Arabidopsis thaliana: one gene and its partners. The protein of the gene in region 2 interacts with the protein of the main gene of each other region in a pairwise test. Each region holds a gene or a part of one and is shown on either strand. Other genes may lie near its edges. The genes, in order: AT3G60080, RING, WAT1 and WRKY7.

Region 1 (7,837 bases), on a different chromosome or scaffold from region 2:
TGTGATCAAAATTATAACCATACCTCATCTGCATCAAGCAATGAGGTTTCCCAGAGTAATCCAGTCATCCCTCTCATTCCACCAAGTACCTTCACAAATACCACATGTAAAACTATATATACGAGTATGTTTAAAAGATAAAGCCTTTGTGTAATCACAAATATCATTAGAATCCGTACCATATCAACGGTGATGTTCCCCACTGGAACCTTTCCTTGTTCTGATTTCAGTTTCTTCAAACGGTCCTGAAAGTTGAAAGTTGTGTTTGTGTATGAGAAATGACATCAACTAAAACAGAGAGAAGAGCTTGATCTCTACATGAAATCTGCCCTAAAATTAGAAACAATCTCAATCACAACGAAGTAGAAACTAAACCTGTTGTTCTGGAATGATCTCTTGCATCTGCGACTTCAAGTCCTGCATTACCATCATTTTAAGCAACATCAACACAAAACCTAGAAGGTAAAATTCCAAATTTTTGGTTCTCAAACTGAACCGCATGATCACGAGAACATGAAAACCTAAGAAAGTACCAATTCAGAAGAGTGGAGCCATCTGACGGAGTTACTAAGTGAGGATTGTTGCACCTGTGCTTCTTATATTAGATCTGATCATCAAATTGTATCACATCAAACAAAACACAAAAAGGATGAAAGCTAAATCTACTCACTGCTCGAGACCGTAGTCTTGAAATGGCTGATACGCTGCGAAAAAACACCATTCTTTCAAACCTCACAACACTGATCGGTTACGAATCCAAACAATCAAGATTGGCTTAACCAGATAAGAGATAAAGGGAAAGAGAAAGCGTGGAGAAGAACTAACGGGAAATTCGAAAGTTTCTTCAACGTAGAGAGAAAAATTGAGAGATGTTGAGATATATCTGCAACGTGATGAACAAGCGTCAAATTACAACATATGTAAACCAAACACACGGATTCTTCTTACCAAACCGGTATAATGAACCAATTGATTACCATTTAGAAAACCAAACGAACAGGTTATGTTCGGGTTCGGTTGAGATTGGTTAGTTCCGTCGGTCCGTGAGACGCAAGATTCGAAGCAGCCGTAACGATTCTAATGCCTAAAAAAACGGTCATTAATAAATAAAGAACAAATGGTATGTAGCTTTTGCTGTTGCTAAATAAAAAAGTAGCTTCTTGGTAAAGTCCAAGGGTTTAGATAAAACATAATTTTATTTTGTTGGAAATAAATAAAGTAAAAATGACATTTCACAATTGAAAAAAAAAGTTATAAACTTCGTTATTATAATTTCTTGGTCGAATGGGCGGTTTGATATTCTTCATTCTCCATTAGTTATCAGAAATTTTTATATTCTTTTGAAATACTATTTAATGATGTAACACAACTATTAACAATGATGGATATAGCTATAGCTAGTTAATATTAAAACATTGGATATCATATTATATGACACTATTGATCGTTATGTCATCCAAAAAATAAACTGATATTTCAATGAATGAGATTGGAAAAATATGACATATATCCATTACAACTCATTATAATCATATTACCATATCATTTTAATGTTTATGAAATGTGAGTCCACCTTTCATAATCTAACGTTTTGAGAAGTTAAAATGTAATTTAGCCATAAAGTTTTGAAGGTATATATCAAGAACATCGCCAATAAAACAGAACTTTATTCATTTATATATTCAAATCGAAACTCTTTTAGAGTCATGTAAGAATCATTTATCATTATAGTATTTCGTTAATTCAGTTTAATGGAATTCATTTTTGTTTTATCAAACAATTTGTTGTAAGTAACATGACTTATATATGAATTAACAAACAAAATAATTTGACGAAAAAAAATGAACAATCTAAAAAATTCAATCACAATATCATTCTCGCTTTTCTATATATAAAACTTGCACACGCACGCGTGAGTACAACGTTACACCATTTTTAAGTAGAGTTTTCACATGATCGGAGATCAAAACACAAACTTACTTTTTCTTGGCAAAATCAGTCTACAAACTCATCACTACACTCTTTCTTGGTAAATTAAGTCAGTCTAACAAATTAAATCAAAGGGCACCCAAGCCCAAAAAATCCAAACATTTGTACATATATACAAGTTATGTATGTTCCTACCTATATAGATGATCATCGTCTCAACCTTGGTCTTGTCTTGACCCATGTCTTGTTATGCTCCATATCGAATAAATGATCAAATCATCATCAAAACCAACAGGACTTACGATTAGTAGAAACCCTACATATTAGGGTAAGGTGTGACCAAACTAATTATTGTTGTTGAAGATCAAACCATCGACTTGAGAATATGTTGTCGTCTTCATCAAGATCGATCAAACCGTCAAAATCAAAGTAAGTATTTGTGTTTGAACTTGATCCCCATTCTTCCTTCACCACGTGGCTCCCTATTATTCTGTTGTCCAGTTCAGCCGTATGTTCTTGGCCGGAATCTTGAGGCAAACCCGGTGGCGCAGGAAAATTTGTGTTGGTTATCTTTTTCTTAGAACCGGTTTTGGTGATCTCCGGTTTCCCGGTTAGACTTTGGACGAGTGTGCGGAAGTTCTTGACATCGGTGTTGATGATCTCGGGAGCAAATATATGGATGATACGGATCTTAGGCTTGATCTTGGTTATTATTTGGGAGTTCTTGTTCATGGGAACCAAAGTTTTTGAATAATCACCATAAAAGGTTTGATGAGGAAGATGATCTATATCGTACTCAGCCTTCATAGAATTTCTCACCATATAAACGTAAAAAGAAGATGAAGAAGCGAAGATTTTGGGTTTTTCTTTTTTGGATTTCAGGTTTCTTGTATTGTTTTGGGAAATGATATGCATATGTTGTGGATTATATGTCTCTATATATATACACAAAAAAAACAAAATGTGAATATACAGTTTTATTGTTGGTTTGTAAAAAAACATTAATAAAATACTATTTCTTAAAGACAAACAAAATGAAAATAGTTAAAAATATAAGACGAAATAGCTATGGACCTGCCTTCCATTACACACTTTTCAACAACTTGAGTTAAATAAATTGTAATTTAAACAAAAAGAATGATCTGTTTCTTTTACGCTATCGGAATAAAATGGTTTTTAATTTTCCAACTGATGATATATCATATAATCAATTAGCTATATAATTAAGTAAAAACATACATATGAGTAGATGGCGTGAGCGATGTTTTATTTAATATATGTGGTTGACTATATAATATAGGTCGTCGACTTAACCTTTGGAGGTGAATTTGACTTTGTTTTATTTACGAATTTGTTAAAATGTCCTTTACCAAAATAATAATAATAATAATTTGTTACATGGCTTATGGAGATAGGGTTTCTTGGAGTTGTACATATATTTTAAAACAATCTTTCACTACATATGTGAAATTCGTCTTAGTAATTTTCACGGAGCATATGTGAAATGTAATTATTTATTGTCTATGGTAAACATCGTTAATAGTAAAAAAATTACATTTGTTTCGGAATTAAGAGATTAGATAAACCGACAAAAAGAAAAACAAATTCCGTGTGCCCTATACTAATAACTTAATAAACACGACAGATACTCGTCGGACGTGATATGTGACTCATCTGTACACGTGCAAAGCTTTTTGTTTTGATGTTTTGATTCCTTGGATCAAAAATCCAAAATTGTTTGACCCAAAAAAAAAGATTAATTAATTATCCAAAAAAAAAGCGGCCACTAATCATATGGAGAGGTCACTAGGTCAGACAATTTCGTTTATCCAAACTAGTAAAATAAGTATAATTAGTTACATCAATCGATTTTTTTTTGTTCACTACTTGAATGTTGCATCAACTGATTTAAAGGTCAAAGTTATCTATTTAATTTAAATAGATCATAGTTTGACATTAGCGTGTTTCGGTTATATAAAATTTCAAGAATTTGACATTTGTAGTTAACAATAGCTGTATGATATTTTTGTAAGAACAAATCGTATTGTTTTGGTCATTATTTAATGTTGATACGCGGGATTGTTGACTTACTCTCCTTAAAACTAGTGAAACAAATCTCCCTATACTAACTACCATGTGTTGAATTATACAACCGTTGATCCAACTTTCTTTGGATGCTTTGAGTTTCTACTCGATCAATTTGTTTTTCACATCATGATAAACTAACTTGTTTTACGTCAAATCCTTTATTTTCAGTTTGTTGTTGTCTAACAGGGAGATGTTTTTCGTATTATTTATCTAATGTAACTATTAATTGTTGCTAACCAAAATATCATTTGATCCTAAACCTAAACTAAAAGGGCAGAAAATTGCTTAGAATCACTAGTGTCTCAATCATTGCATAATTCATACAATTAGATGTTTTAGAGTGCATTGGTAGAAGGATTTCACCAAAACCACTGGCTCCTACCATCCTATTTTTTAGGTGATGGTGTTTTGATTCAAGCAGGTCTGGTTAGAAGACATCATCAAGGGTGAAGAGTTTTGTTAATGACAACTATATAGTAGAGCTATTATTATTATTAATTTGTAGTACTAGTTTAAAACCACAATTAGTCGAACAATTGGGATTCTTTTGTAAGAAGCAAAATCAAATCATCAAAACTGAAAATCAAAAGACAGATACATGCGAAAAGGTCCAAAAACAAAAATTGGTTAAAAATCAAGTTTTAATCATCTTATAGCCCAAGATTCTCAGCCCAATTTTGTCTTTGTTGGTGGGCCTTGTATTCACTTTTATTTTTATTAGAGTCAACCAGATCAACAGACTACAGTCACCACTCACCGTATCAGAAAGTCGAGAAATGAAAAACGTAGAACAAATCATTACACTTACGTTTATTTCATCAATTATTGTATCGAAAGTAGACAAAACTCAAAAGCAAAGAGATCATCAACATTTGTCTAAAAAGTAAAAACAATTGAACATGAAGAAAAAAAAAAAACTCTCGTTATTGTAACTATAATCAATAATCGATTAAAACGCCGATCGGTAAAATAAACAGAGAGCTGAGAATTTGAAGCAAACAAAAAAAAAACTCATATTTGAATTTCGAAATCGTTCTTACAAAGGCGTCGTTGTGACGTTGCTTCTGTCTGCTTCAATCTCTTCTCTTCTTCTCATACCAATTCCAAGACCTGAAACAGTCCTAGCCAAATTCCTCTCCATCTCTCCCACTCCCAATCTCATCTGCTCATGACGACGAGCCAGTCTTCTCAACGCGTTTCTGATTCCAAGCCAATCATCTTCCACATCATCACCATCTGCAGCAATCGTAGCCAGATCCGATAATCTGATTCTCATCTCAGCCTCTGAGCCACCGATTCCCACCTTCGCCGTCGTAGGGAGCTCAAATCTACAAAGCGGACACGAGTTATGATCCGAGAGCCAAGGGACGATGCAATCGGAGTGGTATATATGACTACACGGTAATCTCCGAGCAGATTCTCCGATGATGAAATCCTCTTTGCAAACGGCGCAGAGTAAAACGGAATCTGGATCTGAATCATCGGTGGAACAGAGCAAAGAAGACGAGATCTGAATCGTGGGGATCGAATCGATATCTGAAGATTTCAATAACGAAGAAGAAGATGAAGACGAGGAAGAAGAAGACGATCCTGAATTATCGGAAGCGAGATGACGAAGAAGACGGTGAAGGTAAGGACTATCGAGGAGGAAATTATCATCGGAATTAACAGCTGGATCAACGAAACACCAATCTTCTTCGTCGTCTTCATCATCGTTTTCTCCGTCTTGTTCTTCAAAATCACCGATGGTAACGTCAAAGAGATTAGAAGAAGAAGAATCGTGATCCATACGTTCGAGGAAATCGACACGGCATTGGGGACATAACAGAGGAGAGGAATCGGAATCGGAATCGGAGGAGGAGAGGAGGGATAAACTCATATCGCATTCATGACACCAGTAAGTTCGTCGTTCAGGCTCGCCGTGGACGGTGGTTGTTGTGGTGGTGGAAGACGACATTGAGAAGTGGTGGTGGTGGTTGTGAGAGAAAGAAAGAGAAAATGTGAAAGAAGAAAAAAAGGAAAGGAGAAACAAAAGTTAGTGGTTGTGGTTGAGTACTAGTGATAATGGGTTTATGATTGGTTTCAAAGCCTTTCAAGGCCCTTTTTTAATATATAAAAGTTAAAATGGATTAAAGTTGGTTTATAAAGGGCCTACCATTTTACTTGGCTTTATTCGGAAGGTTTGGTAGTGGGTCTCTCTATTCTTTGAAGTTTATTACAAGTCTTTGCACTTACTAATTGGACTTTGCTAGTGATAATATTGTTTGATTATAATAAGTATGCATATGTGTGAATGATAACTACTTTGCTATACCTCTATTAGATCAAAAAAATCACAGATTTGTTCGTTTGACAACTGCAACAAGTAATCAAATTATATACAACATTTTCTATTGTTCGTTTTCTAGCGGTCGCTCTTAATTACCATATTTTAAAACGTAATCTTTTTTTCTATCATTGATCATCGTGATATTCAAACGAACAACGTTGGATGTAGTCACCAAGTAATTGCCAAACATCGAATCTGCGATACTATATAAGTTATATACGGTACATTTGTTTATTGTAATCTCGTATGATGTATTCTAATCTTTGATATATGAGGGCAGTTGACAAACAAATGTATAGCAAAGTAGTCACATTTAAATATCTAATAACGTGTAAAAACATCAAAAGTCGCTTTGGCCGAGTGGTTAAGGCGTGTTCCTGCTAAGTACATGGGGTTTCCCCGCGAGAGTTCGAATCTGTCAGGCGACGTATTTATTTTTTTAGTGGCATTTTAAATGTTGATGCTGCAACAACGTGCCTTCTCGTGTAAGCAAGCAATAAAATAAGGAAAGTGAGAAAATCACAATCATAAAGATTTGAGCTTTTAATTGTTTGTTTTCTTATCTAATGAAAGTATGGGCGTTACAAGCGTTTAGTAGTAGATTCCAGTTGCCTGCAAAAAAATTACAACTTTTTTAAAAGAATCTCTGACAAATTGCTATCAAGATTCTATCCATTAACTGATCCCTTGCAAACAAAATTCCAAAAGTCACCCATAAAAGCCATAACCAAATCTGGAAAATGAAACCGACATGACCGCATGATTTCTCAGACTATCCTGCCTCTCTCATTCACTCTCTGATCACTTCAATTTCCAATATTTTATAATACTATTTTTTCAAGGTAAAAGAAAAGGTCTTATGTTCATAGAATGACTCACATAATGACGTTGGAAGAAAGGTATTAGTTAGGGTTAGTGGAGAGAGTGCTCAATATGAAACAAGTTTTTCTCTGTCTTCTTTACTCCTTCTTTTTCCCTCCTTTGGGGGAGAAATTGTTGCTTTTGAGGTTTCTTATAGATCAATCTCTCATCACAAGGGCTTTCATTTGAAGTTGATTCTGGGTATGTGAAAGCTCCTTCCTTTGATTTTTACTCCTTCATGGGTTTGAAAATTTCCCCTTCCTCTGTTTTCTAGGTCTGAAAGTTCCTATTTTTTTCCTGATTTAGGGTTTGATAGCTCAATTTTCATCTCTTTTGTTTCTGATTAGCTCAATTAGATCTTATTGAGGAGTTTGATAATTTATTGCTAGGGGTTTCCCAGGTCCAGATTGATTAAAAATCCTCACTTTATTCCGGGGAAAATTTCGAAGCGGTTGAGAAAATGACCGGAGGAAGTGAGGAGGATCCATTCACAAAACCCATTGGAAGATGGTCTGTCTTCTTCTATGGAGTAGGGCATATGCTTAATGACATTACTGCTTCTTGTTGGTTCACTTACCTCCTCCTATTCTTGACCCAAATTGGTCTCTCCCCTAGGTGCAATTTTATCTA
Region 2 (8,000 bases):
AGTTTTACTAAATAATCTTTTTTTTTATCATTAATGCAATCATGTAATGAAGAGAAATAGTGGTGGTGGCTTCGGAGAATCAACCAATCAATATATATGACCCTTTCATGTTTTTATATTTATATTTTTAGACTTGTTTCATATTCATCATAAATATATATAGATATGTAATTATTTATCATAAAATCATAATATACATATTAAAAAACGGATCAACCAGACTAACCCTTAAATTAGAATCAGAATAAAATTAGAAAGAAAACAAAAAATGACCCGTGAACTAAAAAAAAAACGAATCGACCTTATATGTATATGTCATCCGTTAAACTCGTGCATAGACCAAGCCGGGATGGATCAATCTGACTGACACCTACTAGTAGTTGGTGCCGATAAGGATGGACCAATTCGAGTTTTCAAAAGTTATATATGTCGTTCTTCAACTTTCTTTCCGCATTTTTTCTTGTCTTTTTATATAATATGAATGTAAATATTAATGTCATGTCATTATCTGTTGTTAAAGAGAAATAGTACATACATAACACATAGCATATAAAACAAAATGAAAATGAAAAGGTTTAACTGTAAAAGGGACAATATAAACGTAGGAGTTTTTTTTGTGGAAAAAAAAACATCTATGTAAAATTGTCAAGTGGATCAAAATCAAATATTAAGTTCGATCATCTATGTAAAATTGTTGAATATTTGTTTGAGTCTCTATAAAGTATAAACATCTTAGGTGAAAAAAATATCTCGTTGTTTTTATAATTTTTGAAACTTAATTTGAAAAAAATATCTATCTATTACGCAAATAATTAGTAATAACTAATCCGCGACTGAAAGAATCAATGTATATGTTTATAAAATAAAGCAATTGACGACACTAGCTATATACATGATTAGAGAATTCAATTCACACTAGTTGTTTGATTTTAAAAAGTTAGGAGTTTTCATCTTGTCACGTTTCCTTCATATATAGCATGAACTCGGCCACGTACGTCCACATCTATCTTGTTCGTTTGTCTAACTTACGAAATCAATATTAATTAGAAATCCACATATAGAATATAAATTGAAAATGAATTTGAAAACGTATAATGGGACAAATAAGTAGTCTATTCTAAAATGATAAAAAGCTCTGAACAAGTGATGATGTTAGGCTTAGTTTCTGACATTGGAGCAAAATCGATAATTAGACAAACGAATATGTCGACAAAATATATATACAAATGAAGTTGAGAAAGAAAAGACAACCGAAGTTGTCTTTTTCGACGAGTCTGGTTTATCCTCAAAGTTGTTCAGTACTGTTACTTTTAAGGAAAATAATCGTGGTTTGGTCTTCTAAATTGATTTTTCTTTTAATATCATATGTGGAAAAACTTCTATTACACCAAAAAATGTTGTTGAGTTCAAAATAGATATGATGTATCGGTAAAGAAAGACTGAACCGATATTTACACAATTCTCGGTTGTAAAAAGAGATTGAGATCGTCCACTTTAACGTAAGTATTAGGGGTGGGCGCAAGGCTAGTACTTGCTATTTTAGGGATACTTGTTACTCGACTTGCCTTGTACGAGTAATCAAATAAGTAATTGTATTTGGTTTATTGAAAACGAGTACTTACAATTTCAAGTATTTGCTAAAATATGATTGCCTTGCGAGTTACTTGCCTTGTCCTGTTACTTGCTACTTGCGAGTTACTTACATGTACTTACGAGTTACTACTTGATATTCACGAGTTATTTACAAGTATTTACGAGTTATTACTTGCTACTTGCGAATTACTTGCAAATAAATTACTTGCAAGTAACACTTTCGAATTACTTAAAATTACTTATTATTTTATTTATCATATTTTTTACTTATTTAAAATTTACTTTACTTCTAATATAGTTTTAAAATGTGTCTAACACTAAAACAATACAATATATGTATAGAAAATGGTAAAATAATGACGAGTATCGAGTCAAACGAGTCGAGTATTAGTTTTTTTTCATTACTTGTTACTTGATTTGTACTTGCAAGTATCTAAATTATACTACTTGTTACTTGCCTTGTTAAAAACGAGCATTTGTTTTTTCAAGGCGAATACGAATCAAGTAGCGAATATAAGACGAGTAACGAGTACTTATGTCTAGCCCTAATAAATATATATGTGTTTTTTCAATAACTATAACAAAAATAATCGATTAACTCTTTTGTGCTCAAGTTACTATGTAAAAATTGGTATGAACAACATTAGATACGCATCATGATAATGTTTGTTTAGTGGATAAAAAATCGATTAACAATAAAAAAAAATAGAGAGAGGCATGAAAACGAAAATAAGGAAAAGAAAAAGACTATTCGTTTGGTGTGGTCGACCTGTCCCACACCGAGGAAATCACACTTTTATGACAAGACCTACTTGTCCGTACTATATAACATTATCGAATGATTCCGATTTTCTCTTTCCTTTTTTTTTTCTTTAATACGGAAATTACTAATTAAAAATTAAAAAGCGACCAGACGACAATTCAAGAAGCAAACAAAATTGGTGGTACCGAAACAATAAATCTTTTTTATTTATTTCTAAACAATTATTAATTTATTGAAAATTTCACGAAGAAATGAAACAGAAAGTTTTTCTTGGTCCCACTTAGACGTGGCCTCAATCTTCACATCATGGCCCCACACGCTTCTCACGTGCAACTTAACCAGTTACGACAAAACAAAATTAAGAAACATATTAACTTTAGAAATGTATTTACAATGGTTAAATTATTGTTTTGTGCCATTTCGTTTAATACAATGCACCGCTACATGATCTTAAGATAGCTCACGGAAAATTTAGAAAAGTAAATCACAAGTCCCAAATATGCCACGGTGGAAGATGACATGGCAGATATAAAGCGGAGCTTTGCCACATTGAATAAAATTACGAGAGTAACTTTATAGTTTGTAAAATTAAAATCATGGGAATGGTTTAAATTTTAAATAAAATAAAACTGAAGAAATGAAGAGTATGCATATTTAATACTATCTTTTGATATGAAATTTAATTACAGTAATCACAAAATAAGGAAAAGTTAATAAGAAAAATATGGGTTGACTAAAGAGAGGTTAATTTGGAATCTTTTTACAGAAGAGAATACAGTGAACTAACATAAAAATTTTATTAGGAAAGACAGCTTTACACATTTTTAAAAATGCATTTAAGGAAAAAACAGCTTTGCACCTTTTTTTATAGGATTTGCATCTTTAAATTTTAGAAATAATACAAAAAAGGATGGACAAGAACATAAAATCTAATAGTTTTTTCAACAAAAGAAAAAATCGAATAGTTTATGCTAATATCATTAACATATTAGCAAAAAAAAATTTATTGATTTTATAATGGCTCTTTGACTAGTCAAGCTTGCATATGTTTATGTGGATGTTGCTAAGGAAACATGCATGAGTGCATCAATAAATAAGAAAGAAATATTACAAAAAAAAAACTTTTTACACGTCCCAATATTTGCAAACTTCAAGAAAGATAGTATATATTGTTGAATAAAAACTTAGTATATTTTATATTTCTCTAGATTATATTCCTTTTAAGTTCATAAAATTGGTTGTTTCTTTTTCTTTTTCCTTTTACAAAAATCAACTGTATTTTACTAACATTTAATTTACAAAAACTTTAATTACTAAACACAATTGGTAATATACCATGAAAGTCAATATCTAATTTGAATTCATAATTATTCTAAATATCTAAAATATTTAAATAGTAAAAGTAATAAATATGTATTTATAGAAAATTAAAAAAATATTGACTTTTTTCTCTCCCTTAAATAAAAGCCAATCCCATAGATTTCTTCACCAGTCGCCACAACTCCTCCCTCTTCTCTCTCTCTTTGTTTCAGAATCTCTAGGAGCTTTTTTCAACAACAATGGCTGTTCAAGCTCATCACATGAACATTTTCTCTCAGTTTATATCACCAAACAGGTAAAAATCTCATTTTTATATTCTTCTCACAAACAAACTTCCTCTGTTTTTATTTTCCTCTAATCTTTTTTATTTTTGTTATTTGCAGAGATTGTGTTAAATTTCAAGAAAACATGAACCACGGCGAGTTTGAGTTTACCGGCGGTGAAGTTCCGTTAATAACCGGAGAATCTTTCGCCGTTGAGCCTTTAGCTGCGAAAGCCAACTTCAACAAAGCAGAAAGTGGTCTCAGTTACAATTTCACTGTTCCTCCTCTGTCTACAAAACGCCAGCGAGATTTTCAATTCTCAGACTCAAACGCTCCGGTTAAACGGAGGTCCGTAGCGTTTGACTCATCATCACCGTCGTTGATAAACGTTGAACTCGTATCTCAGATTCAAAACCAACAACAGTCAGAGATCGATAGGTTCGTAGCTCAGCAAACGGAGAAGCTAAGAATAGAGATTGAAGCAAGGCAACAAACGCAAACGCGGATGTTAGCGTCTGCGGTTCAAAACGTTATAGCCAAGAAACTAAAAGAGAAAGACGATGAAATCGTACGGATTCGAAACCTAAACTGGGTTTTACAAGAGAGGGTGAAGAGTCTTTACGTCGAAAATCAGATTTGGCGTGATATCGCTCAAACCAACGAAGCAAACGCTAATACTCTTCGAACAAACCTAGACCAAGTTCTTGCTCAACTCGAAACGTTTCCAACCGCTTCAGCCGTTGTAGAAGACGATGCGGAATCGAGTTGTGGAAGTTGTTGCGGTGATGGTGGTGGTGAAGCGGTAACGGCGGTTGGTGGTGGTTGTAAACGGTGCGGTGAGAGAGAAGCGAGTGTGTTGGTGTTACCATGTCGTCATTTGTGTTTGTGTACGGTTTGTGGTGGTTCGGCTTTGTTACGGACTTGTCCGGTTTGCGATATGGTCATGAACGCTAGTGTGCATGTTAACATGTCTTCTTGACCATCTTTTTTTTTTGTTCGTTACAATTTAATTTATATTTTTTTTGTTTCCTTAGGATTATATTCGCAAAAGAAATAGCAAATTGATTCTTTTCTTTTTGTAAGTACATATAAATTAGTTTTTGGTTAACTCTTGATTTTCTTACGACTTAAATGGAATCCAAGACTGAAAATTGCAAAAAAGAAAGACGAAATAATTTGTCGAAGAGAATTTAAAGGCTCCTCCTCTCATTATGTGTGGGAAAAAAAGAAAGAATAAATCATATAAATGAATTTAAAGTGATTCGAAAATGTTTTGAAAAGTAAATATTCCAGAGTTCTTTTTAAGTTGCACCGTTGTTTGGTTGCTTATTCTCAAAGTCGATCACATGAGTTTGAATTATCTACCACCTTTTAAAGATTATCATAGCGTCGATATAAATTGAAAAAGGTATAAAAATGGTCTATGGATATATACTATTGCAATTTGGAAGTATCCTTTATCTTTCCAACCCCGCAACTATATTCAACCAGAAGAATCATACTTCGCTATCGAAACTAAAATAAATTATGATAAAAGAAAAAGAAATAGTCTGAATTCGATTGTCTCAACGACATTTTCAGTTCATAGTCATTATAGTTGTCGTGTAATAAATATTTCATATTCGGATCATGTCATGTGCAGTGCATGTCTAGACAAAATAAAATACCCCCACTAAAATGGATTTTTAAAATTATATCCTATATTAATTCTATAAACGACGAAATTAGAACGATGAATACGATGTGTGAATTCACGAGTTACGATGATTGCGTCCAAGAAACGTTACCATGTCTCTATCCAATAATTTAGTTTAATTTATGTCTTAGAATTATTTGGATCAAATGGCACGAAACGAAATAGTGGCGAAAATGAAAATGGTACGACTCTGCGATGATTCGTACAGAAATTAATTAAAGAGAGAGTTTGAATTCACATTTTTCCATGTCTTCGTTCTTACCCATACTTATTTTTTTCCTTTTGGCCATGCCCCTACATTACGTAGTTACTTACCCTCGCCCAAAGTTTTATGTTATATTCACCTAACCCTATCTTTTAATTTGTTTATACTTTATACGAGTTTGGACAAGGGAATAAGAAAAAATAAATTAGTTAGTGATTGTTGCAAAGATAATGTTTGTGACTAATTGGAGCTTTGTCTAAAAAATTTACTTCCAACAATTCATAAGTATATTTGGATTGTATTCTTTTTTTTTTTCTGATGCGAAATACTCTTATAATTTTAGATATCAGAAAAAATCATGGTTGTTATTATTTGTGGGGACTATAAAAATCTATAAAGCGTTTCTAAAGTCTTAGATATTATTTTAAAGGATAGTTATCGTTTATTTTAGAATAATATCAAACATTATCGTCGTACCATTACCAAACCTAGCATGAATTAGAAGATCCGATTATCCGAATAACAACCAAATACTAGAAGAAGTGATTCCGTAAAAGGGCTGGCTTCTCAAATGGGCTGTTCGGATACTTCCATACACTATCTATTATTTTTTGTCGGTCCATACACTATCTATTAGGCTTTAGATTTCTTAATTATTAGTACTCTAGATTTGAGAGATGGAAAAATATTACACGGCAAGATACCTTGGAGAGAAAAAAGGAACATAGGAATACTATGACATCGTGTGACCAATCCCATTACAAATCTACCACAAGACATGTATAATGTGATAGATTCCATAAGAAAAAAAAACTAGAAAGACAAGAGGAGGCAATCATACGAGAAGATCGATATTACAAAGCACCCGACAACAACATATCAAAAGAATCAGGTAAAACCAGTTTCAAAAATGATCACATACAGAATTTTCGGAAAATTGTGAAATTACTTTCGTAGCCATGAAGTTAATGGCTAGAGTGACTAGACCCGTAACATTACCATATATCATTTGAACTGAAATTTGTTTGTTCTGAGGATTATTTTTCAAGATATCAAAACGAAGATAAGTGGCTGCACAAACTTTTTTTAGCGAATATATCGTTATGTTATCGGGTCTAGCACTCTATCCACTGATTTCATGACCACGAGCCTCTATATTGCGCCGACTTCTTAAATGGGTTTCAATAGCAAATTTCTTTACATTAATTGCTCATCTAATCACTGATCTTGAGAAAAGTCAAAAATACTTATCGTAATTTACATCCAACATCTATAAAAATTGAGTATCGGCCAATTAGTGATTCATCATACGTAGAAACATAGACGCAAACACAGTGCTACAATCGATAAGAAAACTAAATGACGAATCGTAGAAAAGAAAACTTAATTTTGTCTTATAATAGGGACGAAAGAGCCATTTCAACCTTGGAACTAACCTCGTCTATTTAAGATATGTTGATAAGAATTTGTATAATTGTACATTAGTTCTTAGTTAATATATATAATATATATGTATATTTTTCACATGGCGATTTCGGAGATGAAAATTCAAGATCCTAAATTATTTATAGACAGGATATCCGAAGAAAAAAACAATAGAATCTCAGGACAAGACATGTAAAGTGAATGGGTGATATTCTTCCAAAATCGTAGGTTCTCTTCTTCCTTGGCCCTTCCTCATGCTCCATTCATTTTGCAAAATATTTTTGGAAAGAATTATTGAATTTTAATGAAAGTCCTACTTTCATAGTAAAGATTTGTTAATTTTGGCAGTACTTTATATGTAACTATTATTACATGACATTCGAACTCTCGAGAGGGGTTTGAAAACAGAAGCATCTTACGTGTATTCCAACCGTCCACAAGATATATGAATAAAAAAGAATCATATTTCTCCATCCGACTAAAAATATTGCATAGTCATTATTGTTGTCGTGCAATAAATATATTAGATTGGGTCATATCATGTGCGTTGCATGTATAGACAAAACGATGAATACGACGATGTGATGAATTCACGAGTTACAATGAACGCGTCCAAGAAACGATTACCATGTCTCAATCCAGTATCTTATTTATTTTCCCAAATCAAATTTAGATTAGAAACAAGTCAATAACAATAATAATAGATATTTTAGTTTGAGTTTATCAAAACATTTA
Region 3 (8,943 bases), on a different chromosome or scaffold from region 2:
CTTCCTCCTCTCGACACGACCCTCCGTCATGTCTGCGCCAGCTATATCTTCTCCTCGCCACGTTTCATCACTCTCTTCTAGTATATATACACACCTAACCATTACCTCATGTCTTTGCCTTATCACTCACCAAAAGTCGTCACATAATATCACTTTCGAGTTATCAACATCCGTACATGTCATCCATAGAGCCAAAAGTAATGATGGTTGGTGCTAATAAGAAACAACGAACCGTCCAAGCTAGTTCGAGGAAAGGTTGTATGAGAGGAAAAGGTGGACCCGATAACGCGTCTTGCACTTACAAAGGTGTTAGACAACGCACTTGGGGCAAATGGGTCGCTGAGATCCGCGAGCCTAACCGAGGAGCTCGTCTTTGGCTCGGTACCTTCGACACCTCCCGTGAAGCTGCCTTGGCTTATGACTCCGCAGCTCGTAAGCTCTATGGGCCTGAGGCTCATCTCAACCTCCCTGAGTCCTTAAGAAGTTACCCTAAAACGGCGTCGTCTCCGGCGTCCCAGACTACACCAAGCAGCAACACCGGTGGAAAAAGCAGCAGCGACTCTGAGTCGCCGTGTTCATCCAACGAGATGTCATCATGTGGAAGAGTGACAGAGGAGATATCATGGGAGCATATAAACGTGGATTTGCCGGTAATGGATGATTCTTCAATATGGGAAGAAGCTACAATGTCGTTAGGATTTCCATGGGTTCATGAAGGAGATAATGATATTTCTCGGTTTGATACTTGTATTTCCGGTGGCTATTCTAATTGGGATTCCTTTCATTCCCCACTTTGAGGTGTCACTAGACTCTCTTTAATTGTTAAGTTATCATATACAAACTACATATATATACAAATATAGTCACCGTGAACTAGGATATATATGTAAATAAACACCAGTTACATGTACTTATATATGTGCACATCTATATATGTGGTTTGTCTGTATAGTGTGAAAGCAGATTCTTACCATATCAAAAAAAACATAAAAACGACAGTTGTTTGTCTCGAAGCTAAAAATGTGTCATGGGGAAAACTATTAAATCAAGTGCAATGTATCTGTATAAAGAAAACGGGATGTTACGTTGTGTGTAACGGTCAATGTGTAACTATTATATGTCTCTGTTTCTATGGGCTTTTAAGTCTTTGACTATTCTCTTGGTTTTCTTTGCATCTTCTTCTTAGCTTCTCTTTGTACTAACGTGTAATCCTCGCGAGTCTTGATAGACTATATGGCGTGGTTTATAACAAACCTGGCCCGTTTATTCCGGCCCAACATCATTATATCTCGGCTTATATATGGTCTCCAGTCTCCAATAACGGGCTATATATGATTTAACTAATGGATTCAAATACGAAATCTTGAATCCACATGGTAGACTAACCTATGCCAGATAACGATTATGAGACAAAGTCGCTTATGCACTGTGTTTTTCCTTATGTATATGAATTTCTTTTGTTAATGAAATTTATTTGTATAAGGTAAATAAGATATGAAATTCTGTTAATGAACTTCTTGTTTACATCAAATTAAAAGATGATATTTTATATGTAAAAAGCTGACGTGTAAGCTGATCCGAGAAAACCAAGAAAGATAATGTAGAGCATTGAAGTGTATATGTGAAATTTTTAACACGTTCTCCTTAAAATAATGCTTTTATCCGTCTATTTCAAACAAAATTCTAATATTGGACCAAAAATTATATATCGAACAACACATCTTTCTCAAGTTAGCTAAACTTTAATACCATGTTAAAATCTATGGACTTTCAACTCAAGAATTGGTCCATACTATAACTTAGTTGGTCCATATTATATTATATATATTAAATGTTGGTTTATTTTTAACTTGTTCATTCGGTTAAGAATTTTTATTGGATATTTGATAATAAACTAAATTTGTAAAAAAAAACTGTTTCTTTAAGAGATCATTTTAATCAAATACTAAAGATCTTTTTTTACTTCAGTTCAGAACAAAGCGTTTGATCTAATCCATTTTAAACATCCCCGACAGTGATAATTACTAAAGATCATAAATGCAAATTATAACATTCTATTGATGATAAAGGAAAGAAAAACCCCACAAGAAATGTAAGAAAAAATGGCACTAATATATCAGCCAGATATTATATATAGAAAAGTCTCAATCCAAAGCTCCCACATAGTCTTCTTCATCACTATCATCATCATCATCATCCTCATGAACAATGATGTCTCATCCACCATTTTTTTTCCTTTCTTCAAAAACCTTTCTTAGGTAATTAATAATTTTTTAGAAAAAAAAAAGAAGAGAAAACACTAAGAAAAAAAGCAGACACAAAAGTCATAAAACACAACGGCACACCATTGTTCCCTTTTAATTGGGTAATGGCATTTGTAATTATTAGCTGGAGAGTGATTTGTCCAAAGTAGTCAAACATTGTCCGTTGACTGATGGAGTAGTGGTGTTGTGATGGACGACTTGATGGAGTTGCGAGAAACAGGTGCACGTTCAATACCATGCTCCGCGGAGGACTGGATCGCTGCCTTCTCAAGCGCTGCAAATTTCCTCTCTTCGCTCTTACCGTACAATACGAAGTAAAGTCCCGCTATGATCAAGACCGCTCCAATAATCCTGCCATTAGAAATATGACATGTGGCACAACAAATTTTAAAATTATTCTTGTTTAGGACCTTGGATTTTATCAAGTATTTATATAAACCACTAATATTATTATAGTTTCATACCCGCCCAAATAAAATTCTTCGCCTAACGCAATAGAAGCCATGATCGCAACGACAAGAGTCTGAACAGGCTGGTAAACAGCAACGAAGACTGGACCCCCTCTGTCAATACACCAAATCTGAACCGCAAACGCGATTCCAGACGCTACGATTCCCTGAAGTTAAATCAATTCATTAGGACCAAATTGATTATTTTGAAACATTAGGGCCAAAAACGAATTAATTATAACAGATGAAAGAAAAACTAACGGCGTAGAGGATGGTGAAAAGCTCCCAACCGGAGTGAAAAACCCAAGCCTGAGAATCTCTTTCACAGAAAGCAGCAATGATCAAGAACTGAATGATTCCGAAGAAACAAGTGTAAGACGTAACCGAGAGCCTCGCTGGATAAGACTTAAGAACCGGAGCTTGGAAAACAAGCCAGCCTGACCACGAGAGACAGTGACCGATTAGGTAGATGCAACCAAGGGTCCAGTTTTTAGGCGCGGCGTTTCCTAGCGGCGCTAAGACGGCGGAGTTTGTGGTGAGTAGATGAGCGTGGAGGTGGCTAGCCGGAGTGTAGATGGTTGGACCTTTATAGAGGGTGATGACGGAAGCTCCGGCGACACAAAGAGCTGTTCCTAAGATTTTGGAGATACCGTCTCTTCTGTTTATTCTTACTTTCTCAATCCTGAATTATTGTTTTTTTCACATACAGTACATAAACAGTATGTTACATTGTTGTTACTACTATGATTATCACTATTTTGTAAGCAAATGGAAACGGCATTAAATATTGTCTACGTGTATTATTATCCGTTTCTTTTACGTTGAAAAGTCAAATGGACATTATTAAAGTGGTTCTTGTATATCCAAGCTGTCCAAAATATTGTTATTTATTTTTATAAATCAAAAGAGAATGAAAATGGAGAGATGTGTAGAGTAAGTGCCTGAGAAGAGCAGCCATGAGAAAGGTAATGGCGGGAACAGAGTTTTGCATGGAGGAAGCAAATGTTGGTGAAGTGTTGTCCAGTCCCAACAAGTAAAATCCTTGGTTCGCTGTTATTCTGTCGTGTAATAATTCATTAACTAATTATCCAAATTTGTTATTGAAAAGATCAGAGTGAAGGATATAAATATATACCCTATGAGTGCCAAAAAGAAGAACTGGATGAGAAAGTTGAGAGTAATCGCTGGTCTCTCCTTCCTAAATTAACACAATTAAGTTTGGTAATTAAATAACTAGCAACTAGAGAAAAAATAGGGTTTTCAAATAAAGAAGTGAAGTGAAAATAGAAGGTTACTTTTCAAGGAAGTAAGCGAAGGGAAGGAGAAGAAGCAAGGCGATGATGTTACGATAAACAGGGAAGACGAGTTTGCTGATTCCCATGTTAAGAGCAGCTCGAGACACCACGTGGAATCCGGCGTAACCGAATTGCAACGTCAGCATCGCTATGTGAAGCTGAAGCTTCTCCGGAACTCCCCATAAGGATCTCCGATTATCGGTGTTATCCGCCATTGGATCGAGCTTAACAATCGATCAACGAAGGAAAAAGGCTGTGTGTGTGTGTGTTTGTGTGTGTTGATTGAGGAAAAGAGTGAAGTTGCGGAGATATAAATATAGGTAGATAGCAATCTCATTCCCCTCTTTGCTTGTGGGAACCACCATACTGAGATTTCTAATATGGTATCTATTAAACCTAATTATAACAATGTGAAATATTGAAATATATATATATATATATATATATGGATTTAGGTATATTAATGAGTTTTTGTTGTTTCCTATCATTTGATGTACACACCAAATATTGTTACTTTGGTCTACTGGCAGCATTCACTCCTTGATTATGATTTTTGAATTGGGAAATAAAATTTTAATTTATATTATTATTTCTCTATTGGGTTATATCAAGTATGATAATAATATAGGTTACTTTTTGTTTTACTATTATTACGTTCATTATTATTTTGTTTACAAAGCACACACACAACATAAATATATTTCAGGGAAAATCGCAAAAGGAGAAAGAAAAACTCAACGTATGATAGTTTTACCTAAGAAATATGATTTCTTTTGAGATATTAAAATAAACGATTGTGTTTTCGGATTTTCTTGGAAAAAAAAGACTCTTGAATTGAAAACTATCATACACTATTCTACTTAGCCTTATTGGAAACTATGACCACGTAAACAAAGTCGGGTTAAACTTATAATCAAACACGTTCACATGCACTTACCGTTACCAAAACGAGATAATAAAGTGACAACGTCTCACTAAGTCACAACTTCACAAACATTTTGTGGATGTTGGTACATCTCATATGTTTTAAAATCAAAATTTGAAGACATTCCCAAAATTTTGGACACTATATTTAACATTTATCATCAGCTTTTGTTTCACAACATGATACATTGTTAGTTAATTATATGCTTTCAAAACAACCAACTTTTCATTTATTGATTTCTAACAAGAAGAAACGACTATGAAGCTGTTGGTTAAATCTAAATCGATTAAACAAAGGGCCCGCAAATTTTTAACTGTGTACTATAGTGTTTTTAGAAAATAAAGAAGAGAGCTTAAAAATGTGTAAAAGGGCAAAGCCTGTCTCCCACATTCTTTTATTTTTCTGCTGTTTAGCTGACATGACAACCCTCACGCCACTACTCATTAACGCAACCATCATTATGATTCTTAATTTTTTGTATATCTAAAATCATTTAATTCTGAAAATCAAAAAGGTAAAAATAACAATAGAAAAAGCACAAAATATATCATTATTTACGACTCTATTCCTCAATTTGCACTCACTATCGTAGACATTATAATGGTTTTAGTTTGTCCTTTCCTTTGATATTTATTGAGCAGCATGGCATTGCTACTAATTATTACTTGTACAGTATAGTCTTCAGGAGAATAACACTCTTAATTATAAATGTACGACATTTCGTTTTAACATCTTTTATTTACTTTCTTTTTTGGTAAATATATTTCTTGATTTTATTTATGTTACATAATTAATTTTGTAGGGACGAGCCCCACGCGCACTGCCGAACCGTGAGACCCACAGTACCTCTTATTTCGCAGGCACACCCACACGATCAATATTTATGTACACGCTTACACCAATATTATTATCTGTATTTGTCCTCAATTATTTTAGTTTTATTTTTCTTGTTAATTTATTTTAGTTCTATTTTTTTGTGCTCATCGAATAGACGTGTGTAATTGTTTTCCAATAGTCAAATACATTTGTATCCCTATAGAATAGAATCATCGAAAATTTTATGGTTGCTTGCTTGTATATGCTTTCATTTTTCTCTTTCTTTTTGTCTTGTTATTTTTGGAGAGATCGACAATGTAAACCCAGAGAAACCAATTTAGTAAATTGTACACAGAAACATGTGCATATCCACGTGAAAACAAACCAAATATGTATTTTTCTTTCCTTCCACGAATGTATCACGACAAAAGAAATATCATGGCAAAAATTGTTCATGGAATATTATTTTGTCACAAATCTGTTTTAGATAAACTATATGCAGCAACATGTAAAACATAACAAAATATAACAATATGGAATTTTCATTACTTCATTATATTCCATTTCTATTACAAAAATCTTTTTTTTTTATGAACAATAACAAAGATATTTACCTTAACATTTTAATACATCTAGTTAAACTTAGTTATACTTTCACGTTACACTAATTTATCTAATTGCTCTATTTTATAAAATATATTTATTCTACCATTATCCCGATGAACCTAAACTAAAGTTTGTATCCTCTGTTCTTGACATAGATGCTATTCATATCAAAATTGAATAGAAAATATCTCAATACACAGCGAAACATGTTTTTTAATTGTATAAGAAATCATTGTTTCTAATAATATCATACTTCTGTAAATATTTTCTACATTTATAGAAAATTGTTCCTACAAAATTAAAAATTTATCAAAATATATAAATAACTAGTTGTAGTTCTAGCTACAAACATTATCACTAAAACAATTTTGTTAAAACATTTCCAGTAATCCTAAAGAAGGGATTATTTTGGGACATTCAAAATGATATCAGCATTTTAAAAAAAAATCGAAACAGTTTTGTAAAATCTTACTAGATTAGTTGTAGAAAAGCTTCTTACAAGAAAAGGTTGTGACGTTTTTTGAAAACAAATTTTATGGTGTAGTTTCGGGGTAATCCTAAATTAAAATAAATAAAAAAACTTAAGAAAGGTCAAAGGAGTATGTATATATGTGATGAAACTGGCCGTGCAAGTGGTACACGTATGCTCAACCGTATCCATAATGCCATTTGTCGAGGCAGACCCCTTCATTAACTATACTGAGATTTCCAAATCTGTCTACAATTCTTGTAAATGATTATTTCATCATAATAAAAATACGTAGTTTGCCAGAGGTCTTGGCATGAGTTTTCCTTCTAATTCATTCAGAATTTGAGGGTTTGATTTACGCGATGATGTGTATGGTAGATAATTGAAAAATATCAATTGTTTCTCCAGGTACTGTTCATAACTAGTAAAAGTGATCTTATTGATGAATATCTTGTTATTGTATGTTGAAATTGGGAATTACTCTTTTCAGATATAGCTATTAGCTATAGTATCAGTAAATTTTGAGAGATAAATGAAGACATACCCAGCTGGACATACCAAATCCAGCACATATTAGTTTGTTAATTATATATGGTTTATATTAGGATCTATAACGTAGGTTCATGATTTACACTTGCATATATTTAGGTTGTTTTATATCATTCTCAAATGATGATTCGTTGTTACCTATGCGAAACAAGCACTGAACTCATAATTAACTAAGGTGTCAAATTTAATTCAAAATTTCACAACACTGGCACTAATTAATTTATTGTAGATCAGTAGATGGTAGGATGAAATATTTTTAGTTTGTTCCTTAATGAATATGAAAGATCACTAAACATCAATTGTTATAAAAGAAGGGCGTATTATTGATGGTAAAGACTAAAGTTTCACTATTAATTAGCCCAATTTCCGGAACTAGTGCAGTAGTGCTTATAAAAGTGTTTAGTTAAAATACAAATAAAAGGAATTAATTAGCATTTTTGGTCTTTGTGACAGAAGATAAACCCTTATTTAGTTAAAAAAGGAAGAAAACAAAACCCTTTTTAGGATGAAAAAGAAGATCCCGATATATAAAGGATGATATTCGATCTAAGTCTATCTCTCTCAATCGGTAAAGGGTAAAGAAACGGGTCGGGTAAGGACCCAGCAAGACAGTAACGGATCGGGTAAGGACCCAACAAGATAGTAACCGGTAACGAGCAGACGAAGAAGAAGAGGGAGACCAATCTTAGTTGGAATATTTAATTGCCTTGTCTCCTTTTTCCTCACTTTATTTCGTTTCTTTATCATTTTTGCTCGCCCACGAGCGAATCTTCTTGTCTCCGATCTCTCTCTCTTCTCTTTTTCTCACTCCACTTTTGAACTTTACCACAAAAGATTTAGCTTTTAACCTAAATTCCAAGATAAAAGAATGTAAATTACTTTTAGAGGTATTTGAGAAGATTAATGCATAAATTTAGAATCTTAATATGACCAAGTTATATAAACTCGGCTCTTATTCTTTCACTAATTATCCGATACGCTAAATGCTATCACTTATTTACGACAATACTTGTGATCAGTCATAATCAACAAAGATAAAACGTTCCGACTGATTGTCTGAAGAACGTAGACACGGTTCTGCAAAACTGGAACACATTTAATGACTGTATACACACCTCCATAACTGCACTGTTTCACATGCAATTCAATGGTGTATATCTATATACATATGCTTGTGTCTAATAGAAAGATTATGCATATAAAGTTTTCATCCGATGCTTTGATTGATATTTGATATAGAGTGTCCTTAGATTCGTTTGAATTGTGATGATAAGTGGATGTCACTAAGAAGACACCTTGACGTGCGACAACACTATAAGGACGAGACAAGTATGACCCTTCAACATATTATTATAAGACTAATGCCACTTTACCCACTAACGTGATTTCAATACGTTTAACAGAAACAGCTCTCTCTTTTTCTTGATTTCAGTTCAACGAACTATAATTATGGTGATCCGAATGTATCAGTCTTCGTAAGAAAGCGAACTAGCTAGCGTAAAACTACTTTAAGCGTTAAGCGTTTAATCGTTGGAGTCTTATAAACTCCAACGTGATTTTTTAAAGTTTC
Region 4 (8,847 bases), 1.9 Mb from region 2:
TAGCTTCAGCACCAATTTCTTCAGCTTTCCCGGATTCTTCCAAAAGATTTACAGCAGCCGCAAAGGCTTTCTCAAGTTCACTCCTCTCAATTCCTTCCCAATCATCATCTTCTTCAATAGTCAACTCTGTTTTCTCTTCATTCTCTGCTTCAGCATCACTCTCCTCCACCATATTACTACTCTTTTCAACTCTAACCTCCTCAGATTCAGCGACTAAGACATCTCCACCACTTTCTTCGTTTTCTACGCAACCACTTCTTCCTAATTCTGTTACTTCCTCTTGTCCTTGACTCTTAATCTCCTCCGCTACCACGTTTTCCGGCGAGACAGAAGAAATGGACTCAGCTTCAGCCGAGTCGCTCTGTTCGTCCTGTCCTCGAACTAAGATCACCTCCTCGGCGATCACATAATTTTCCGACGAGGCTGCAGCCGAGGACTCAGCTTCACGGTCACCACAGATTTTAGCGTTTCCAGTAACAGCTTCATCGACTTCATAAACTCGATCAGCTTCTTCGCTAAGAAACCGATCGACAAGTTCCACATTCTCATCAACAACTTGGAAATTCCTCTGGCTTTCGAGAACACGAGCATCCATCTTCATACCAAAACGAACATCCTCTGTAACACCGACACCGATCTCGGGCTTGAGCGGCTGATCAGAACTCAAATCGTTCTCCACCGTAGCAACAGAAACGAGCTTGGCCAAAAGGAAAGAAAACAAGAGAGCAACAACCGCCGTGAGAAGCATCTCTAAGAAAACCTCCATGATCGAAGAAGATGATGAAAAAGGAAAGTAAGATACTTAGGATCTAAAGAAGAAGAAGGAGAAAGGCAAAGAATGTAATTATACGAAAGGTTAGAAAAGAAGGAAAGGAAAAAGGAATAAATGAGAGACAAAGAAGAAAGCATATTCGGCTTTAAACGGGAAGCGGGTCCGTCAATTATATTTTCTCAACGCCTAACCGCTATGACTGCTGACTTGGCTCTTGCGGTTTTATTCTTATCCTCTTCTCCACCTCACCGGCTCCTTCCTTAATCCTTATGCAGCGCGCCGCTTTTTTTTTTGCTCTCACTGGATCTTTGTCTTTGGACTCTTTACAAACTAAAATAATGATTGGAAGAGTTTTTTTAATTTTTTTTTTTTTTTTTTTTTTGGATTTTCGTATGATAAAAATCTGGCTTTTAAAAAACACACTTTTATGAAAACTAATTTCCTTAATTTTGATTGGATGTTTAGTGAGTTTTTTTGAAATAACAAAAACCAGCTCATTGAAAATTACTCCCATTCCAAGCTTTAATGATGCTGAAATTAAGTTATAGTTTTGAATGGTATAGAAATGGAAATAGAAAACAAGACCAAAAGAGAGATTAAAGGTTTTTGAGGTAATATGCAAGGACAGTTCATAGTTTATTTGGGCCTTTACAAACAAAACATGGGCCTATGTTAATGCATAATATGATAAGACTAAGGCCCATGTCTTCCTACCTATTCACCTACATGGCCAAACCCAGTCGATAAGTTTGTGACGGAACCACAATCATGACACTCGTCCTTATTTGCTCAACTACGGTTAAAAAAAACTTGATAAATGGGTAACAACACACTTCACGAAGAAACTTAAAAATCAGTCTAACGAGGTTTTCACTAATAAAAAGTTTTTGTTTCTTTCCCTAACGACTTTACCAAACAAAGAAAGGCAAACTTAACTTTGCCAAAATTACTAAAATCACTGTCGCACAACAAAAGTCTCCTCTTTGTTTTTTTCTTTTCAAAATCTCCTTATATATCAGAGTTGATAGAGCATTTATTAAATCAGTATGTGTGATTTATTCTATATTCTGCATAAATATGTAATATTTTTAGCATCTTTTTTTTTTTTTTTTTCTCATAAGTGTAATATTTTATTCATTTTATCATTACCAGTACAATGCTTGGTTATGAGAAAACCAAAATAAAGCCCAAGACATCCCACATATAAAGGCTCATACGACACAAAAGAAGAGATAAGCTATAGACGTGTCAGACCAATAATAATAAGCTAGGGACACGTGGAACGTCCACAACCTTCACTAGTCCTGGACAAAATATTCGTTCGATCCGCTTTAACTCAATATTCGATTTGATTTGATTCGAAAAATCCGAATATTCGTAAGATTTTGGAGCAAAGCAAATAGAAAAATGTAGTAATCGTAAAAACCGAAGCAAATAACAAATACTATTTTTTCTAAAGTCGGATATTCGCTTCGATCTATATATATATATATATATATATATCACAATATAGGTTGTGCATTTGTATATGTTGGGATTTGGGCTTGTATTTGTATCCTTTGGGCCTGTGTTTTTTTTGTGACACAGTTTTTATTAGAGAAGTGGAATTTTTTAAAATAAAATTGTTTTATTTTTTATATTTTATCCTAAAATTGTCGTTTTACTTTCCAATCCATCAAATATAAGAGCGACATTTCTGTTTCCTTTCTTCGACCTTTCACTATTTTTATCACTCAATTTGGTTACAGAATTTATAACCAGAAAATTTTCAGTTGCTCTCAATCTCACACTCGTAAGTCATAAGGTAAGAAATTTGAAATCTATGTTAAATAATTTATATAAAAAAATATTTGGATGTAGCAAAGCAAAGCGGATATCCGACAAATATCATACAAAAATCCGGATATTCGTATTTTCGGATATTTGGAAATTTTCGGATCAAAGCAAATAATAAAATTAAGTATTCGATTAAAACGAATCGAATAACAAATATCCCAAATTTTCCGGATATTCGCTTCGTGCCCAGGCCTAACCTCCACTGCACATGAGACTCAAGCCTGGTGAATCAGAAACGTCGTTGGAAAATCACCGGTCAACGAGACTTCTTTTTTATCACCAATTAAAAGTTACAGAACAAACATCAATCTCCTAATCTCATCCGATTGCAAGAATCACAAAGGATTCGGCAAAAATGGGTAAAAGAAATTAGAGAAAACTGAGTAGTTCAAACTTGTCTAACAATTAAATCTCTTGCAAGAACAACAAAGGCATATCTTAATTGCATAGGAAACGAGCTTTGACCTAACCTTAGTCGTGGAGAAATTGAAACTGTCTTAAACACAGTAGATCCAAACGAACCTAATTGTCGAGAACGCACACATCGCCGGAAAACTGTTGGAGCCAAAAAAAACAGAACCCAACGGTGAAGCCAATCAAAGCAGAAAGAAACTAAATCATGCGAAGAGAACACCTCTTCGGAACTGAAGATTCTGCCTGTCATAATGTTTCATCATCAAGATTTTAAAGCTACAAAACAAAAACAAATCCGAAGAAACCGAATTCAAAATTGCCCAAAAAGAAATCTAAATCCCGATCAACGGGAGATAATAGCCGGAAAAAATCCAGATAACGGAAACCGGAAGAAACCCGGACGGCGATTCTAAACTTACATCGGAAAAATCTTTCTCTGAAAAATACTATAGAGAGAAGAGAGAGACCTTCCTCCTTTTAGATCTTTCTTTAATTAAAAATTTAATTTTTATATTTTTAGCATCTAATCAGCCTCAAAAATATAAAATATCTTAGATTTTTCTCGAATAATAATAACGAATATATATATAATTCGAGCTCCACTTGCTCCAAATTTAAAATCATTGACGCTGAGGAGTGTCAAAACGCTTGACAAATGATCACACGTGTAAGCCTATGAGTGGTGGTCGATTTGACTGATGCACTATCAACACATACCTAAAGATATAGAGAGAGAAACGCATATCGTTGACTCTCCCCCTTTTTCACTCTCTTCATTTATTCTTCCCCTCATCATCATCATCATCTTCTTCTTTAACCAAAAACACAACTTACAAGAAAACTGTTGAATCTTTGTATTTATTTACATCTCCTTTGACCTTTAATAAGAATCTGAGTGGTTGGTCTCTGATTTGATGAGATGACTGTTGAGCTGATGATGAGCAGCTACAGCGGCGGCGGAGGAGGAGGTGATGGTTTTCCTGCAATCGCCGCGGCGGCGAAAATGGAAGATACCGCTTTGAGAGAAGCTGCTTCTGCAGGGATTCACGGTGTGGAGGAGTTTCTTAAACTGATCGGTCAAAGTCAACAACCAACGGAGAAGAGTCAGACGGAGATAACCGCGGTGACTGACGTCGCCGTTAACAGCTTCAAGAAGGTCATTTCTCTACTCGGTAGATCTAGAACCGGACACGCTAGATTCAGACGAGCTCCCGCGTCAACGCAAACGCCGTTTAAGCAAACGCCGGTGGTTGAGGAGGAGGTGGAGGTGGAGGAGAAGAAGCCAGAAACAAGCTCCGTGTTAACAAAACAGAAAACAGAGCAATATCACGGTGGTGGATCTGCGTTTAGAGTTTATTGTCCAACACCAATTCATCGTCGTCCTCCTCTATCACACAATAACAACAACAATCAGAATCAAACAAAGAACGGTTCGTCTTCTTCATCTCCTCCGATGCTCGCAAACGGAGCACCGTCAACGATAAACTTTGCGCCGTCACCACCAGTCTCAGCGACGAACTCATTCATGTCTTCTCATAGATGTGACACCGATAGTACTCACATGTCATCAGGATTCGAGTTCACTAACCCATCTCAGCTCTCTGGTTCGAGAGGTAAACCTCCTTTATCATCAGCTTCGTTGAAGAGAAGATGTAATTCATCTCCCTCAAGCCGTTGCCATTGCTCCAAGAAAAGGTTTTGATTCAACTTCTATTATTAAAAATTAATCTTATTTTAGATCTAAATCTTGAGATTTGATTAATAAAACGTTAATTATAATTTGTGTAAAAAAATCAGGAAATCAAGAGTAAAAAGAGTGATTAGAGTTCCAGCAGTAAGTAGCAAAATGGCTGATATACCATCAGATGAGTTTTCATGGAGAAAATATGGTCAAAAACCAATCAAAGGCTCTCCTCATCCTCGGTAATTATTTTTTACATTTTTTACCATCGATATATATACTCTACACATACATCACAATCACTCACTAGATTCAACACCAAAAATCAAATATTGGCTAGAAAATTAAGCAACTTGTGTATTGTCAATATTAGTACCAGAGAGATTGTCAATATTGTTTTTTTCTATATCGGTTGTACCAAACATGTTGTCTAGTAGTACAGTAGTGGGTTCAGTTTCACGCTCTTTTTGACTTGTTGTTTCCTATAGAATAAATTTGAAATAGAAAGCCGAGAGTTAAGTTGACTATTTCTTTTCTCATTAATTAATAAGAACTCGAACTAACTGGGGAGGACTCGGTGTAATGGTTATGACAGGGGATATTACAAGTGCAGCAGTGTAAGAGGTTGTCCGGCGCGTAAGCATGTGGAGCGTGCACTAGATGATGCGATGATGCTAATCGTGACGTACGAAGGAGACCACAACCATGCTTTGGTTCTCGAGACGACGACGATGAATCATGACAAAACTCTTTAGTTTCTCGAGTTTGAGGGGAACTGTCTGTGTGTGACCACTATCCAGATTAGTCAACGACAGAGTGGGCCCGCACTGCACTTTTTTATTCTTTTCTTTTTGAAAAGCTTTTGCTTTATCTTTCTTTTTGATTGGAGGAAATAGAGGGAGGGGAGATAAAGACGAGAGAGGAACGTTGTGGATCTTGATGGAAGTTGAATCATGTGAATGTCCTTTTCTGTTTATTTATTTCTAGGATAATATATATTTAGTGCACTATTTTTGTCAAATCTCTGATTCTTTTCTTACTTGCAGAACTATTTGAGTTTTTAGGGAAATTATCAGTTAATTTAGATTCAACTGACCATAATGCTATGCTGGTAATTGGAAAAAATTGCAATTCAAATTTCGTTAAACAAAAAAAAAAAGAACTATTTGTAGATTACATAGTCAAATCAACTTAACACACGTTTATAGAAACTAGAAAAGTTGTCGATCAAATAATAAGTAGCTCTAATAAGTATTTATTTCAGCATTAGTGAAAAACCTCAGATGCAATGTCGTTATCCTTTTAAGTGTGTTTTTTCCAACAAAGTTGACAATGTTTATGATTATGTTAACGGCTATAAATTCAAGTGTAAAGTACTTCAACATTTAGTAAAAAATTTAAAGCTTTACTACAAAATTTTGTTACCAAGAAAATCAGCTATTCATGCATCATTGCGTTATAACTCTTCAATATCACTTTTAAGTGATGTTTTAGAGACTTTTTTTAAAAAGATGTTTTAAAATTTTTTAGACCAATCATATTTTAGAGTATGTTATCTAATTAGTTAAAATTTGTTTAATTGTATTATATGTAAAAGAGGTAGGATTAAAGTGATACACAAATTATGTGTTTTCTTAATTTGTGTATAAAACCTTTAAACATCACTTAAAGTGATACAAAAAGAGTATTTTACAACATATCCATTAATAGAATTTAAAAAGTCATTCACTTAGTCAAAAAAAAAAAAAAGCATTCCATATTTTTTATTTTATTTTAGAGATTAGTAAAAGAAAACGTTCAAATGCAATGTTATTTAGTATTTTTCTCCCTTACAAAGTTAACGACCTTTTTAGAAATTCTATAACGTCTACAAATCGTTTTAAGTATTAAATTGAAAAATGACAATGAGTTCGAGTAATTTGTTATTGTTAAAATATAAAATTTATCTTATTTAAAAGCAATTCTAAAGTTCTTCTCTTTAGAAGATGGGATAAATTTATCTTATCAACAAAAAAAGGTACTTATATAAAAATTTAAATTTGCCACTCTGAAAAATTAAGCTACATCCGATAACATCATTGAAAATTTAAACGTTGTGAAAGTAAATAACATAGAAGCTTTTTAATTATATATCAATCCATGTATCATCGAAGCTTTCTTATAAAAAGTAACAAGTCAACTTAATCTAGTAGCCTCAAAAGTAGAAAGGAACGTTGGCGTCAATGTCATAGATGCACACAATCCTCTGATGAGAGCTCTAAATGTGAAATAATAAAGGGATAGCCTTATTGGATTACGACACAAATTGCAACTTAATTAAGGGTTTTCACTTTGGACATTATAAGATTCAGGAGTTGTAGGTTGCATCTCTATCCTATGAGCCTCGCTCGTGGATTCGCCTCTGTTCCTCGTATCTTCTAACCATCCTTCCAGTGTGGACTGTACTACATTGTCGAATATCCCTTTCTTGAATTTGCTACCCATCTTTTAAAAACCGAGCAAAACAACAACAACAATTGATTCAAATTTGTTGTGAATTGGTGTAAACATGTGAATATATATGTGTCACTTACTTGTGTAACAAGGGCATATAGTGGTAATGTGCTGTAACTGCAAAGCACTTGGACTAACACTCTGTATGAACAAAGATCGAACCAAAAATATTAATTAGACCTTTTGAAGGTTGATATTTAGATTTAAAAGAGTTCATATATTACCCCATGACGAGTCTTGGGATAAGGTAGCCTAGTTTCTCCATGATACATGAATGTATTCCGTATGTGAACTGATGATACGATGGATAACTCGTAAATAAGAATGCGATGGTTCAAAAATTGTGGAAGATAAAGAAAGTGAAGCTGAGGGTTGAAAGAAAACGTACCAAAATCCAGAAGAAGAAAGCAATCTCAAATGAATTCTGAAAGAGAATGAAATGGATGAGTTGGAGAACAATGCCTGGCCTATGGAACCAAAAGAGTTCATCAGAAGGTGTGATCACTGCTTCTTCCGCGCGGCTTCGCTTCTCGGAAACATCCAAAGCTAAGCTACTTATTATATATTCCAACTTGGCACCCACCATTAGTAACAACTGCATTTTTGAAACACTTTTTAACTATTCAAAAAGATAAAATGAGATCAAAAGTGACAAAAGAGCCCAATCATATATAAGAACTTACAATCAAAGGCAAGAAAGATAACCAGAAGTAAGTGTTCCATCCTCCAACATTGAGCAGCAAAAAGACGACGACAAAGAGCCATAGATACCAACTTTATAATTATGTATGACATCAACAAAAAGGTGTCAGACAAAACTCATTAAGCCATAAATTGGTTTGTCTGTTTAGAGAGCTGATTTGATTATTTTACCTTATGCTCACAACTTTCTTGAAATCTATTTCCAGTGTTCTTAGCATGTACTTGTGAAAATCAAATGATGGGTTTGTGCGGCAATGACTCTAGCAAGGTAAGAAAAGTATAAGTATTGTTACATAAGAGATTTAGTAACCTAAATAAGATGTTGGAATAAGACAGTAAAAGTAAGACCATGATGAATGCTTGTCGCAGAGCTATGTATTCTGATTTGGTGACAGAACCATAAAACTGCTTGAAGAATGATCTCTGCAACAAACAGTACACATTGGCTAATCTCATTAGAATATAATTTGATTCATGTGTTATACTTTTGGCAGTAGTATATATATCCATTACTCACCACCCAGCTGATGACAACAGATCTTCTCCAAAATCCTCCAGCATGCATCTCGAAGAACTCGTGATTTGCACTGAATAACTCGTGAGCATGAGCATGATGACCACGCCTTGTAGTGCCTGCGACATTATGTTATGTACTTTGCGTGTGTTAAGGTACAAAGTAACTGTTAATTACTATTGTGGAATCTCGCTCACCCTTTTGAGAAGGACGTTTCTTGAACCAATCCTCCCAATGTTTCCATTGTTGTATCTACATATTATTTCACATCAATAAAATTAATCAGAGCCAGCTTTTGAAATAAAGGGGTTTAATGTTGTTTGGTAACTTGAGCAAAAAGCTATAAAAGCAAGTGGTATTACTCTTGCTCCTCCAAGAACCATGGTTGAGGCGCAGAAGATGACGTGAAAAACCGCTAGCACAAAGATGAAGATA

What was found.
Region 1: the proteins of RING (region 2) and AT3G60080 interact in a protein complementation assay, tested with the Arabidopsis thaliana proteins (one large-scale study listed by BioGRID).
Region 3: the proteins of RING (region 2) and WAT1 interact in a protein complementation assay, tested with the Arabidopsis thaliana proteins (one large-scale study listed by BioGRID).
Region 4: the proteins of RING (region 2) and WRKY7 interact in a two-hybrid assay, tested with the Arabidopsis thaliana proteins (one large-scale study listed by BioGRID).

What each region holds. Positions count from the first base shown.
Region 1 is NC_003074.8:22,185,772-22,193,608, reverse strand, and holds AT3G60080 (RING/U-box superfamily protein), read right to left. Parts: upstream 6,335-7,837; 5' UTR 5,975-6,334; coding exon 5,054-5,974; 3' UTR 4,675-5,053; downstream 1-4,674. Other genes in the region: CSY5 (citrate synthase 5), read right to left, coding at 24-89, 180-245, 376-417, 534-587, 671-721; AT3G60090 (VQ motif-containing protein), read right to left, coding at 2,278-2,751; AT3G60070 (Major facilitator superfamily protein), read left to right, coding at 7,668-7,822.
Region 2 is NC_003075.7:10,710,551-10,718,550, reverse strand, and holds RING (SBP (S-ribonuclease binding protein) family protein), read left to right. Parts: upstream 1-3,805; 5' UTR 3,806-3,915; coding exon 3,916-3,971; intron 3,972-4,059; coding exon 4,060-4,918; 3' UTR 4,919-5,141; downstream 5,142-8,000.
Region 3 is NC_003070.9:28,335,869-28,344,811, forward strand, and holds WAT1 (Walls Are Thin 1), read right to left. Parts: upstream 4,408-8,943; 5' UTR 4,224-4,407; coding exon 4,009-4,223; intron 3,912-4,008; coding exon 3,849-3,911; intron 3,772-3,848; coding exon 3,655-3,771; intron 3,396-3,654; coding exon 2,975-3,395; intron 2,881-2,974; coding exon 2,729-2,880; intron 2,616-2,728; coding exon 2,414-2,615; 3' UTR 2,320-2,413; exon of another isoform or gene 1,914-2,319; 3' UTR 1,858-1,913; downstream 1-1,857. Other genes in the region: AT1G75490 (Integrase-type DNA-binding superfamily protein), read left to right, coding at 177-797. UniProt on the Arabidopsis thaliana protein: Required for secondary wall formation in fibers, especially in short days conditions. Promotes indole metabolism and transport (e.g. tryptophan, neoglucobrassicin and auxin (indole-3-acetic acid)). May prevent salicylic-acid (SA) accumulation.
Region 4 is NC_003075.7:12,567,989-12,576,835, forward strand, and holds WRKY7 (WRKY DNA-binding protein 7), read left to right. Parts: upstream 1-3,549; 5' UTR 3,550-3,941; coding exon 3,942-4,717; intron 4,718-4,819; coding exon 4,820-4,945; coding exon of another isoform or gene 4,946-4,949; exon of another isoform or gene 4,950-5,298; coding exon 5,299-5,458; 3' UTR 5,459-5,785; downstream 5,786-8,847. Other genes in the region: ACBP3 (acyl-CoA-binding domain 3), read right to left, coding at 1-766; AT4G24231 (uncharacterized protein), read left to right, coding at 887-1,036; MLO13 (Seven transmembrane MLO family protein), read right to left, coding at 7,020-7,187, 7,277-7,337, 7,421-7,488, 7,585-7,791, 7,880-7,970, 8,070-8,158, 8,247-8,321, 8,416-8,531 and 2 more. UniProt on the Arabidopsis thaliana protein: Transcription factor. Interacts specifically with the W box (5'-(T)TGAC[CT]-3'), a frequently occurring elicitor-responsive cis-acting element.